Sus scrofa: one gene and its partner. The protein of the gene in region 2 purifies or fractionates together with the protein of the main gene of each other region. This does not show direct contact. Links are inferred from orthologs where the notes say so. Each region holds a gene or a part of one and is shown on either strand. Other genes may lie near its edges.

Region 1 (6,239 bases), on a different chromosome or scaffold from region 2:
TTTTTTTTTTCTAGTGAGAATGAGCCCTGCCCAAAAAAAGTTGTAGTATATATTGTAGTGTGCTGTGAAAACCACAGCACACTACAATATATATCACTATCATCACATATCTTTCTTTTATTTGTTGTTGTTGTTGTCTTTTTGCCTTTTCTAGGGCCACTCCGGCGGCATACGGACGTTCCCAGGCTAGGGGTTTAATCGGAGCTGTAGCCACCAGCCTACGCCACAGCAACATGAGATACAAGCAGCTTTTGCAAACTACACCTCAGCTCACAGCAACGCCAGATCCTTAACCCACTGAGCAAGGCCGGGGATTGAACCCACTACCTCATGGTTCCTAGTCAGGTTCGTTAACCACTGAGCCACAACGAGAACTCTCTATAATCACATATCTTTACATATATATTCTCTGGTTGGTCAGGCACTAATTAATCTTCAAAATCTCAACTAGAGAAAGTTCTATTAATGCAGCCTAGAAGGAAAATAAGATTGAAATATTGTAAAAACCTGAGAAGGCATGTATTTTTTTCTCCCCTGAAACTGTGAGAGATTTCTTTATGAAAGCAAAGTAGACTCTCTGGGAATTTAGGAAATAACCCTTAAAACTTCAAGCCAAGTCTCTCTTTTCAAGGTAATTTCATCGGTAACTCGGGAAAGTCTAGAAAAGAAAATAACCACCATCTGGGACCATCTCTGGGAGCAGGTGAAATGCAATTCACACTTTGCTCGGGTGAACGCGAGAGCATATCAAGGCCATTCCCTCTAGTTTTGCAAATCTTTAGAAAATAATTTTAACCAAGTTTAAAACAAAAAAAAAAAAAAAAAAAAGAAAATAAGTGCTTATTTTTTTTAACCCAATTATGGATGTTATTTCCTATGTTAGGTCATTAAAAAAGAAATCTTTTCTTAAGGCAACTTATTTTTTGTGAAGGAAAACAAGTGATAATACCAATTACACAACTCAATTAAAGCCCCAGGCACAGGGCCTCTCCTCCCTGTCCCTGCCTCCCCCTGTCATGGCCATGCCGGGCCTCTTTAGAAGCAGGGCTGGTCTTCAGGGACTACACTGCCTTCAAGCTCCCTTGCACTAAACTGTCTGTCACAGGATCCTGTTCCCACTCAGCACAGCCAGCGAGAGTGACACCCCACCTTCCACTCTCCCCCCAGGCAGCTTCCCCAGGCTCTACCCTGATACCCTTTGTGCTCTGCATGCAGAAAGCCAGCCTCACGGTTCGCAGGACCTTCAGCGGGGTCAGCAGTTCCCTCCCTGCTGGGGGAAAGTGGCCGCATAAATGGACCGAAGGTAGCCCTGGGCCAAACTCCGTCAACATCCTCACAGCTGTCTCAGCCCCACCCCTCAAAAAAAAAAACCAAACAATATAAATGCAAAATCTTTTCATTTCCTCATCAACAACTGGACCTAGGGCCAACGATTAGAAAGAAGAAGGCATCCGTAGCGCCTAAGTGCAAAGTCCTTGAAATCTGACCCCTCCCCCCAGCATTCCCTCTTCTCATCCTTGGTCTCTCATCTTTCAGCAAAATCAATGGGAAAGAAAAAAATGGGATAATATCTCCACAGTAGAACAAAATACATCTTGAGCCGTTAACCTGTTTTCTTCAAACATCCTAAGAATTCAATGCCTTTTGGTCACAGACACCTTAAAAACTGAGTTCCGAAGTTCCCATCGTGGCTCAGCAGAAACAATCTGACTAGTATCCGTGAGGATGCAGGTTCCATCCCTGGCCTCACTCAATGAGTTAAGGATACGGTGTTGCTGTGAGCTGTGGTGCAGGTCGAAGACACAGCTCGGATCTGGCTTTGCTGTGCTGTGGTATAGGCCGGCGGATGTAGCTGCAATTAGACCCCTAGCCTGGGAACTTCCATATGCGGGGGGGGTGCGCCTCTAAAAAGACAAAAACAAACCAAAAAAAAATTGAGTTCTGACCTAGGAACAAAAAGTCTTAGCAAGTGACTCGTTTCTGTCTACAAATAAAAAGTATTCTTCCCAAAAGCATAAGCTTAATCTTCTATAACAAACATAGGAATTGGGATGCCCTAGGAGACCCACAAGGACGGACAAGAGTCCACTACTCCCGAGGTCCCATGCTACAAAAAATTGAAAAATATGACAACTACCTAAATTTGAGTCAATCTCATGGCCATGAGCCAGAGTCACTCTAGAACCTAAGTATTTCATCAGGCTCCTGGGCATCTTACTCTGTCCCCAGGAATGTCCCCCAACAAGTGCACAATTTAGGGCAACTGGGCCTTGGAGACCCTAAACCAGACAAAGAAAATCTCAAAACCGTGAAAGCCACACAAGTTTGGTTTGGCACAATTGGAAACGGGATCTCTGAAATTGATCAGAAGCATCATGACACACTAAATACGATCATACTTAAATTCCGCTAAAAAGAACATTCATCAAAATAGGTGTTTCGCCTATTTTGTTTCACACATACACAGAAAAATCATTACAAATACTAAATAGGGCGTGAGGTATACAGAGTATGTCAACCCAGAAAACTATTTTTCCAGCAGATCAAAAGTTCTGTGAATCCCCAACACCGCCAAAGGTACAGGTACGTACGGAAGAGAACCTAAAGCAAATCTGAGGCAGGCTTCAAAGGAGTTCGGCACCTCGAGGCCCCAGGACCGGGCGTCAGGCTCCCGGTCACCTGCCAGGGCGCGACCGCTGCCAACGTGGGCACCGCGGCGGCCCGAGCGCGCCCGGGGCGGAGGGGAAAGAGAAGAAGATGAGCGGCGGAGCCAGCCCGCCCTCCCCGCGCGTCAATCACGCCCGCACCGCTGGTCCTAGCGCGACTTTGGGGATGCACGCTTTCGACTTTGGATCCCGACGCGCGTGACACAGCTAAGAACAAAAAGCGAGGCCCCGCATCTCCCCAGACCGGCCTCCGCAGGGCAGCCCAGCGGGTCGGGGCGGTCCCGGGAAGGAAGCTCTGGAGCGGGGAGATGCAGAGCCCACCCCGAACCGATTTCAGTAAAAGGCTGCGGCCCAGGTGCCAGCCGGGGGGGTGTCTCCGGGGCCCGGCGCGGGGTCCTTCAGCGCGGGCCCGGAACCGAGGAGGGACAAGGAGAGAGAAGGCTGCCAGAGGGCACGCGGGGCACGCGCGCCGCCCACTCACCTCTGGCCGAAGCTCTGGCGGCCCCTTGGTGCTGCGGGACCCGGCTTCCAGGCCGCCCGAGCCGCCCTCCCGCCGCCGCCGCCGCCGGCCTCTCGCTTCCCGCCTGCTCCGAGCCCAGTGCCCCGCGCGGCGCCCAGCGCCGCCGCGTCTCCGGCCTCCGCAGCCGCGAGACCCCGCCCCCGGGCAGCGCCGCCGGCGCAGGGAGGGAGGCGGCGCCGCGAGCGCGAGGAGGAGGCGAGGCCGGGGCTGCGCCCGGACGCCGGCCCCACGGTGCGCGCACCCGGGCCCGCGGCCGCCCCTCGGCGGGAGCCGAACAATCCCGGCGCGCCCCCTCCCGCCGCCCCTTCCCAACCCCTTGCAGTGGCTCCCGGCGTGTCTTCGGGACGCGGTTCGAGAGCAGAGTTGCGCGGTGCCGATGCTTCCGAAGGACGGGCGTAGGGTGGGAAGCGGCGGCGGAGGGAAGGGACCCAGCGAGACCACCTACCCACCCCACCCCGCATCCTACCCCCGCGGCCCACCCCCGCCCCGAAGGAATTTTCCGGAACCCAGAGACGACCACACCCAGCGCCGCACTCCTGGCCGCGCTCACGTCTCCTTTTTCAGTGGTCCCGGGCCAAACCGCCCAGCGTAGAGGGACCGAGGAAAGACGGGTCTCTAGGGAATCTCCTCACCAGTGTGCCTTTCTCTTCCACCAGCCCTTCCCATGTAGCCCTGACCTCCCCACGGCTGTTACCTCTCAGCGCTAATTTGTCGGTTTGCGACCCTCCGAGCGCAAGCCCCAGATAAAACGAAGATTGCTGGGCGCTGCGCAAGCGGGAGTCTCTAGAACTCCCTGCAGACGGAGACTGGGAGTCTGATTTGTAAACACTGCCCTGCTGCCCCTTCGGCACACGGAAGTTTGAGAAGCGTTGTTGAGCCACACCTGCCTGAGAGGATGATGGCACGGACTAATGACCGATGGAATAACGATACTAGAAAATTCTAAAGCAGTGGTTCTTAACCCTCACAGCGCTAGTCAGACGTTAGAATTATCTGGGAGCTCTTAGAGTATTGCCAGGGTCCCACCTCTGGAGTTCTGAGCCTGAGCATTGGTATTTTTGTTTGAAGGTTTCCCTGATAGTTCTAACATATGGCCAGGATTGAAATCATTTCCCTAGAATCAGCTCTTTTTGAATCTACCTGGCTCTGGTGCCTGGGAAAAGAGCCCCTTGGCTCACCTGTCCCAAATCCCAATGCCGAAGAAAAAGGGACATGCTCCTGAGGGGATGCTCACAGCCAAAATTGTTTTCCACCCAAACAGGCTTATCTTGAAAATGGTGACCAAGATGCTTTAGTACCACCTGAGCATGGGTCTCCTTAACTTCAGGATGAGTATCTTTATGAGCCAAAATCTTTTACCTGAATAATGAGCTGGCAATAATGACCCCTTTGGAGTCATATTCTGTAGAGTCCAATATGATGTTTTCATTACCTGTTGTTAGACTGCCAGCTGGTCACACCAGGTGTTCAAAAGCTGAGAGTGTGTTGTTGCCCCTGAGACCTGGCTTTTCTGAGGGTTTGACTTGAAGCTCTTGGTGCTGATCTTCTGCTGACCTTCAGTGTCCAAAATCAGGGCTTTGGGACAAGAACAGTAATTTCCCTCATTGCCCCTTTTGGCTCTCCTAGTAATGTTGTGCCTTCTTAGATTGTGGACTGTAACTTCCATCTCATTTGCCTCTAAGTAGGTCTCCATTAGTGTTGCTCATTTATCAACAGCTAATTAGTGATGAAGTCAGTAATTCTTAAGCACTTTATGGGAGAGGTCCATATGTCTAGGTACTAGGGAAGCTGGCTACATTAACTACATCTTCACTGAAAGAGAATCAGCCCTTTTCAAGCTTTATAAGAATCTTCGTGACGAAATTGAGAATTTTTAAGACATTCTTTTGAAGTTCTTTGAAGAGACAATACTTATATATGCAATAGTGCATATGTAAAAGGATTTACATTCTTTATAAAGCTCTCTTCTATTTTCTCAAGTCTTCTCACCCAGAGGGTTTGATGTAATCAGTTGCTGACTTTAAAAATTCTGCTGGAGAGATGTTGATTAAACAATGTGCACGGGGCCAACGGGGGTTGGTGGCAGTGGCACCGGTTTTGTCTGTTCAGCATCCTTTCCCTTACTAGCTAATGGCACCTGATTTCCATACAGGCACTTATCTCCTGCTCTCCAAGGGATATAGCCTTGGTTGGGCTGTCAATCAAAGTGATGTCCTCTGCAGCTCAAGGGGTAGACCCTTTGCATTTGTTTTCTGTTTGCTGCCCTAACAAATTATCACACACCTAGAGTTAAAATGACACGGTTCTGTTAGTCAAAAATCTCACTGGGCTAAAACCAAGGTGTCAGCAGGGCTCCATTCCTTTCCAGAGGCTCTCAAGAAGATCCATTTTATTGCCTTTTCCAGTGTCTAGAGACTGCTTGCATTCTTCAGCTCATAACCGGCTTCTTTTATTTTCCAAACCAGCAAGCTTCAAAATCAGGAATACCTCTCTAATCCCACTTCCATAGTCACTTCTCTCAGATCCAGCTGAGAAAGTTTCTTCACTTTTTTTTTTAAGGGCCAGGCCCGCGGCATATGGAGGTTCCCAGGCTAGGGATCGAATGGGAGCTGTAGCCACTAGCCACAGCCACGGACACAGCCACGGACACAGCCTCAGCCCCAGCAATGCCAGATCTGAGCCACATCTGCGACCTACACCACAGCTCACAGCAACTTTGGATCCTTAAACCACTGAGCAAGGCCAGGGATCAAACCTGCCTCCTCATGGATTAGATTTGTTTCAGCTGAGCCATGACAGGAACTCCAAGTTGCTTCACTTTTGAGGACCTTTGTGATTCCATTGGTTCCACCCAAATGATCCAAGATAATCTCCTTAGCGCGGGTCCTTAATTTAATCACCTCTGCAAAGGCGCTTTTGCCATTCAAGGTAACTTTGACAGGTTTCAGGGATTAAGACAGGAACATCTTTTTTTTTTTTTTTTTTTTTTTTTTTTATAGTTTTTTTTGTTTTTTTTTTTTTTTTTTTTTTTTTTTGTTGTTTGTTGTTGTTGT
Region 2 (6,385 bases):
ACCCTCAACCTTCTGGTTCCTAGTCGGATTCATTAACCACTGCGCCACAACGGGAACTCCTTTTTTTTTGTTGTTATTATTATTTTTAAATAGTTATTTCCCCAACACAATTTTTTTCCCACCATACAGCATGGTGACCCAGTTACACACATGTACACATTCTATTTTCCCCCATTATCAGGCTCCATCATAAGTGACTAGACATAGTTCCCAGTGCTACACAGCAGGATCTCATTGCTCATCCATTCCAAAGGCAACAGTTTGCGTCTATTGACCCCAGACTCCCAGTCCATCCCACTCCCTCCTCCTCCCCCTTGGCAACCACAAGTCTATTCTCTAAATCCATGATTTTCTTTTCTGTGGAAAGGTTCATTTGCACCTTATATTAAATTCCAGGTAGAAGTGAGATCATATGGTATTCGTCTTTCTCTTTCTGACTTCACACTATGAGAGTCTCTAGTTCCATCCATGTTGCTGCAAATGGCATTTCATTTTTTATGGCTGAGTAGTATTCCACTGTGTATACATACCACATCTTCCTAACCCAAACATCTGTCGATGGACATCTGGGTTGTTTCTATGTCTTGGCTATTGTGAATAGAGCTGCAATGAACATGTGGTGCATGCATCTTTTTTAAGGAAAGTTTTGTCCAGATATATGCCCAAGAGTGGGATTGCTGGGTCATATGGTCATTCTATGTACGGGTTTCCTAAGGTATCTCCATACTGCTCTCCATAGTGGTTGTACCAGCTTACATTCCCACCAGCAGTGGGCGTCTGTTTTTAGACAGGAGCAGCTGCAGTGTGCAGGCAGGAGCCAGGCAGACATGCAGGGGAGTCGGCAGTGCTCTCCACAGCTGCTCTGGGCTGGGAAGGAGGGCATAGGGTGGGGGGCCATCAGCAGAGAAGTGTGGGCCAGCACAGATGTTCTGAAGCCTCAGGGCATGCCAGCCATGGGTCAGGCCTCCAGCAGGGGACCTGGCAAGGCCGGCTGAATGGCTGGGCTGAGACCTTTCCCCAGCAGATAACGGGGCCTTGAGCAGAGGAAGAGCTGAAGCGGTGGCCTGGTCCCCAGCTCCAGCTCTCGCCGGCCCAAAGGTCCTGGCAAGATGGGCTAGGAAACAGGCAGTCTGGCCCACAGATGTCACAGCTGGGGGGACAGGGGGTGGCCAAGTCTTTCTGGCTTAACCTCCTCATGGACCAGGGGTCCAGGAATCCTCTGAACCCCTGACAACTCTTCCCATCCCCCGCTTCCCCAACATCCCTTTAAGACCCACCAATGTCACACTGCAGGGCCATCCAGCCGCACCTGAACCCAAGCCCAGGACACTGTCCTCAGCCTGATGCCACAGGACAATGGGGGCAGAGTCCTCAGGGCCTAGGGTCCGCTCCCTGGAGCCTCTCCTCCCCCACTGCAGCCACACCCTGCAGGGTCAGGGCCAAGGGTCTGTGTGGAGCCAGGTGTGGAAGGCAAGGCGGCCCTGAAGGCTGAACAGGGTGTTCCATGGGGCCCCTTTCCCCAGACTGCCAACAAGGCAGAGATAAGGCCTAGGCGTTCAAAGGCCAGAGTGGGAACCAGCAAGGAAGGGCAGGGCCGGGCCTGGAGCCTGGCGGCCCCTCACTGAGTGGTGGGGGGGGCTTGGGCTCCTGTTTAGCCATTTCTTGGGGAACTTCCCCTGGAGGAGGAGCAGGACCCAGCAGGACTTTAGCCCCCCTCAGACTCCAGCCCACCCCAGCATGGAGACCTCATCCAGGGACCCCAGTGGAGAGGGCCCCTCATCCCCACCGGAGGAAGAGCTCAAAGGCTCTGGGGCATCTAAGCTGCCCGAGCTGGGAGGCCCTGGACAGCAGCCTGGGACCTTTGTCCCAGGCCCCGTGGCTTGGGAGCAGCCCCTAGAGAAAGGGCCATAGGTAGCGACACCCAGACTGAATTCGAGTCCCCAAACCGAGTACCCCTGCAGAGTTTGTACTTAACTCCTGGATGCAAAGTGCCATTCCTGCACTTACCTAACACCTGTTCTCCTCAAGACTGAGATGCCTCCCAAGGTGGGGGCGGGGAGACTGAGCAGGACTCTGCAGGGGCCTCCTGAGCACAAACCCATTCCGTGTCCCCCACTTCTTGTTTGTAGGAAACAGGCTTCATCCAGCCCCCTAAGACCGTCCTGGCCTGAGTTCCAAGGGCAGATTCCAGCCGAAGCTAATCAGGGAAGCGAAGGAATGCAGAAAAGGGAGGGACCGTCAAGATGGGCTCACACACCCTGGGCAGGGTCCAGGTTCCTCCTTGAGGGACACACAGACCGATATCCTTGAGCTCCTCCGAGGAGCTAAGGCTCCCGCCCCGGCCAAGGAAGGAGACCCCAGGCTGGCTGGAACCTTAGGGCTGAAGACCGAGAGTCCTGGAACAGCACCGTGACCTCGCCACTGACCAATCAGAACAAAGCTGGCACACACACACACTCGCAGGCACGCACACACGCGCGCACACACACGCGCGCACACACACACTCGCAGGCACGCGCACGCGCGCGCACACACACACTCGCAGGCACGCGCGGGCGCACACACTCGCAGGCACGCGCGCGCCTGCACACACACACTCGCAGGCACGCACACGCACTGCAGCCCTCAAACCAAATCCTGCCTGTTAAAAACTTCTCCCCCACTGCTGGGAGCCGAATTTCGAGAAAGGAATCTGCCTGATGACAAAGTCCGGGGGATTCTGAAGAAGTCTGCAAAGCAGCAGGTTTGCTGTTTGCTAGGCCCCCCAGAAACCAGAAGCCGTGATGCCTGGGGATACAGTCCTTTGTGTTTTCTTTGTTTTCAATAACTGATCTGTGTCCTGCTCACACTGTGCCTTGTCTACTGTTTGTTCTTTCACCCTAAGAAAAGAATTAATTCCCTTCTGTTTAAATCTTGAATTAGTCTTGCCTGCTGGCCTTTGGTCATCTCTAGAGTATGGCTCCATGCTGTTTATTACGGAGAGAATGGTTTTTTGGAAGGGATTTCTGTTTTCTGCAAGATAATCTTCGATAGTATTGGTATGCATTATTCAGCTAAAGTTTATTTAGAATAAAATAAAATACAGTTTAGAAATTGCTGATGATTGTTGTCTTGATTTAGGCAGAGAATGTATCAAAGATTATTATGATATAAAAATTAAAATAGGGTTACTGTTAAGATAGTAACCAGGCATTTTATTTTGAAGAAACAACAATACGCATGCGACATTTGCAAAGGTTGCTTGCGGCCTACATGTGACTTTAGCTACCTGCCCGGTTGCTCTTTAATGGGTTGATGGCGTACTTTCCCCCATCCAGGTGCCTTTTTCTGTCTTTACACTTAAACTGTAACCCTGGAGCAGTCACGAGATATTGATCTTCTTCGCCGATGTAAGTTGTAGGTTCTTTCCCTGTATAAGCTGCTGCTGTTCATCCTTGCACTGGAGACCGCTTGAGCGCTGCTCCAGAGGGTGTGCGATTCCGCTCTTCCTGCGCCCGCCGCCCCTCCTCTTCGGGAAACCCCCTGACCGCCGGGGCGGGACCCCGGGACCCCAGCGCCCCAAACCCTCTGGGAACTCAGGGCTTTGCACACACGCCACCTGTCTCCTGGAATGGCCTGCAGTAAAACTTTCTCTGCTCCAAAGGGTGACGTTTTGTTTGCTTGGCCTCACTGCGCCTTGGGCAGGGTTTCCGTACCAAGACCCTCGGGGGAGTGGGGTAGGGGGTGGCGGCCCTGCCCTGCGGCTCTGGGTGGCCCATCCAGGAGGGGCCCAGCCCTCGCCCCCCAGGGCGGCCACTTCAAGCGGGGAGGATCTGCCGCTGGAATGGTTAACCCAGGACGCCTCCGCAGCCAATCACAGGGCCCCGCGGGCAAGGCCCGGAGGGCGCCTGGCCGGGCCCAGCCCCAGTCCGGCACCGGGCAGCCCATGCAGCCTGCAGCCATCCTGGCGCGTGCCACCTCCCCAGAGCGCGCAGCCCCCGGGGGCCGCAGCATGGCTGGCCTGGCCCGGCTGGGGCTGCTGCTGGCTGTGCTGCTGGCCTCCGCAACGGCGACCCAACCGGCCCGGCTGCTGACCTTGCTGTCCTCAGGCCAAGGCGTTCTGGACCGCGTGGCGCTGGGCGGCCTGTTAAATACACTGGCGGCCCGTGTGCACTGCGCCACCGGGCCGTGTGGAAAGGTAAGGCCCCACCCGACGGGTCCCCCGGCTCCAGCCCGCCCCGAGGCCCGGCAGCAAAGGGCCCTGGGTAAACTCCAGGAGGCGGGCCGAGCGGCGGCCAGGCGCCCTGACCTTGCTGGCCCAAGCCCACCCTCCTCTGCTGGGCATTCGGAGGGACCTGCCTTCCCGGATGGGGGCTGCACTGGGTCCCCCACCCCGTGCTCACCAGATCAAACTGGCGTGTCTGGGAAGAGACCGCCCTGGGCGGGCGGGACCCCTCCGTGTGTTGTGCGTGCACCTCTGTCCCTGGGGTGGGGTGGGGAAGGGTGTGGGGAGCAGTGAGAGGGGGCGTGAGGGTGACAGAGCCTGAGGATGGTGGTCCACGTGTGGCCCCCCCCCGGGAAAGGGGGCAGCTCCAGCTCCGGGGTCACAGATGCCTGGCCCCTGCCCGCCCATCTCATCTCCGCCTCTGCCCACAGTGCCTGTCGGTGGACGACGCCCTGGCCCTGGGCAGGCCTGAGAAGCCAGGACTCCCCTCCAGCCCAGTGCTGGAGCCCAGGCACATCGCCCGCCTGAGCGCTGCCTCTGCCCTTTACCTCAGCGACCCCGAGGGCACATGCACAGACGTGCGTGCTGGCCGCTGGGCCTCACGAGCCGACCACCTCCTGGCCCAGCTCCAGAGCCCAGAGGCCCTGACCCTGGGTCTGACCAGGTTGCTGCAGAGGATTCAGTCCCAGGCTGTCGGCTGGTCCCCTTCAGAGGGGGTGAGGGCCCTGGCCAGGAGAGCCAGTGGGGGGACTGCTTAGGGGGTGAGGCCTCAACGCCTTTCTGGGCCCGTGGGAGACCTGGGGACACAGCGGGGAGGCCGGGCTGGGAGAATCACAAATTGTGTTCACCGCGGAGTAGGGCCGGGCTGCAGGAGTCCCAGGAGGGGCCCTCGCCAGAGAGCTCCTGGGGCTACAGGGAGGCGCTGGGGTGGGAGTGTCAAGGGGGGCAGTCTGGACCAGCTGGGCCAGGAAGGGGAAGGGGAAGGGCTGCGGTAGCAGGGAGGGGCGGGGCAGGGGCGGGGCCCAGGCCTTAGGTGGGCGGGAAGAGGTGGTGCTGGGAGGCGGCTGGTCTGGGTCAGAGGTGTCCAGGGGACACAAAAGGCTACGGCAGAGCTAGAGGTCAGGAAGGCCACACTGCCCGTTGAGGCTGAGCCCCAGCTCCTCCCCAGGCCTGTGTGGACCTGCCTCAGCTGCTGGAGGAGGCGGCCAGGGCGGGGGCTCCTGGCAGCCCCGGCCCGGTGCTCGCTGCTCTGCTGGACCATGCCAGGAGCGGCTCCTGCTTCCGTGCCCTGCCGACCCCTCAGTACTTCGTGGACTTTGTGTTCCGGGAGCACAGTGGCGAGACTCCCAACATCACACTGGCTGGTGAGGCAGAGCAGGGCCCACCACCCCTGCCCCCTCCATGCCCTAGGGGAGGGCAGGTCTGCGACCCACACAAACTTTGTGATTCTGCCCTCTCGGCCAGAGCTGGCAGCCCTGATGCAGCGCCTGGGCGTGGGCGGAGTGAGCGAGCCCCATGGTGACCACAGCGAGCAGGGTCATCTGGGAAAGGAAGCCAGCCAGCCTGGCCCCGTGCCCCCTGCCAGCCCCAACAGCAGCTCCAGCGTGTGGGACACGGTGAGCAACCTGTGCATCCTAGTCCTGGAGAGAGATGGGGTCCCAGGGTCTGCTCAGGTCCCTGACCCCCAGTCCTGTCACGCTCGCAGATGTGCCTGAGTGCCGGAGACGTGATGGCTGTGTATGGGCTGTCTGAGCAGGCTGGGGTGACCCCGGAGGCCTGGGCCCAGCTGAGCCCTGCCCTGCTCCAGCAACAGCTGAGTGGGGCCTGCAGCCCCCAACCCATGCACCCCACCCAGGACCAGCTCAGCCAGTCAGAGAGTGAGTGCCCACCTCCCCAGCTGTGCCTGCCTGGCCAAGCCCTGGGGCCTGGCAGATGGAGGTGGGACCACAGAGCGAGCAGGGAGCGGCCGCTGGGCTGGGAGGCATGGGAGAGCTGGGCCAGGACTGGGCAGAGGAGAGTGGCACCGGAGTAGGGGGTCAGGGCCAGTGTGGAGGCCTGGAAGGGAAGAAGGTGGGGCTTGGAGGCCCGCTGACTGAGCGGAGGCCAGGCCTGCCCCTGAGCACCTGCGGTCTGGGTGAGCTCCCGCTCACTTCTGGGGCCCCACCTGGACACCCTTCCCTG

Evidence for each region.
Region 1: the proteins of SLC39A4 (region 2) and GOLM1 purify together in Homo sapiens (affinity purification with mass spectrometry; 3 studies listed by BioGRID and IntAct, counting the BioPlex papers as one, with this or other methods). This does not show direct contact. The link is inferred for Sus scrofa from reciprocal best matches to the Homo sapiens genes SLC39A4 and GOLM1.

Annotation. Positions count from the first base shown.
Region 1 is NC_010452.4:29,115,368-29,121,606, reverse strand, and holds the start of GOLM1 (Golgi membrane protein 1), read right to left. Parts: upstream 4,030-6,239; 5' UTR 3,881-4,029; intron 3,321-3,880; exon of another isoform or gene 3,148-3,320; intron 1-3,147.
Region 2 is NC_010446.5:370,180-376,564, forward strand, and holds the start of SLC39A4 (zinc transporter ZIP4), read left to right. Parts: upstream 1-2,501; 5' UTR 2,502-2,743; intron 2,744-3,317; 5' UTR 3,318-3,610; coding exon 3,611-4,177; intron 4,178-4,635; coding exon 4,636-4,920; intron 4,921-5,372; coding exon 5,373-5,568; intron 5,569-5,668; coding exon 5,669-5,820; intron 5,821-5,909; coding exon 5,910-6,081; intron 6,082-6,385. UniProt on the Homo sapiens protein: Selective transporter that mediates the uptake of Zn(2+). Plays an essential role for dietary zinc uptake from small intestine. The Zn(2+) uniporter activity is regulated by zinc availability.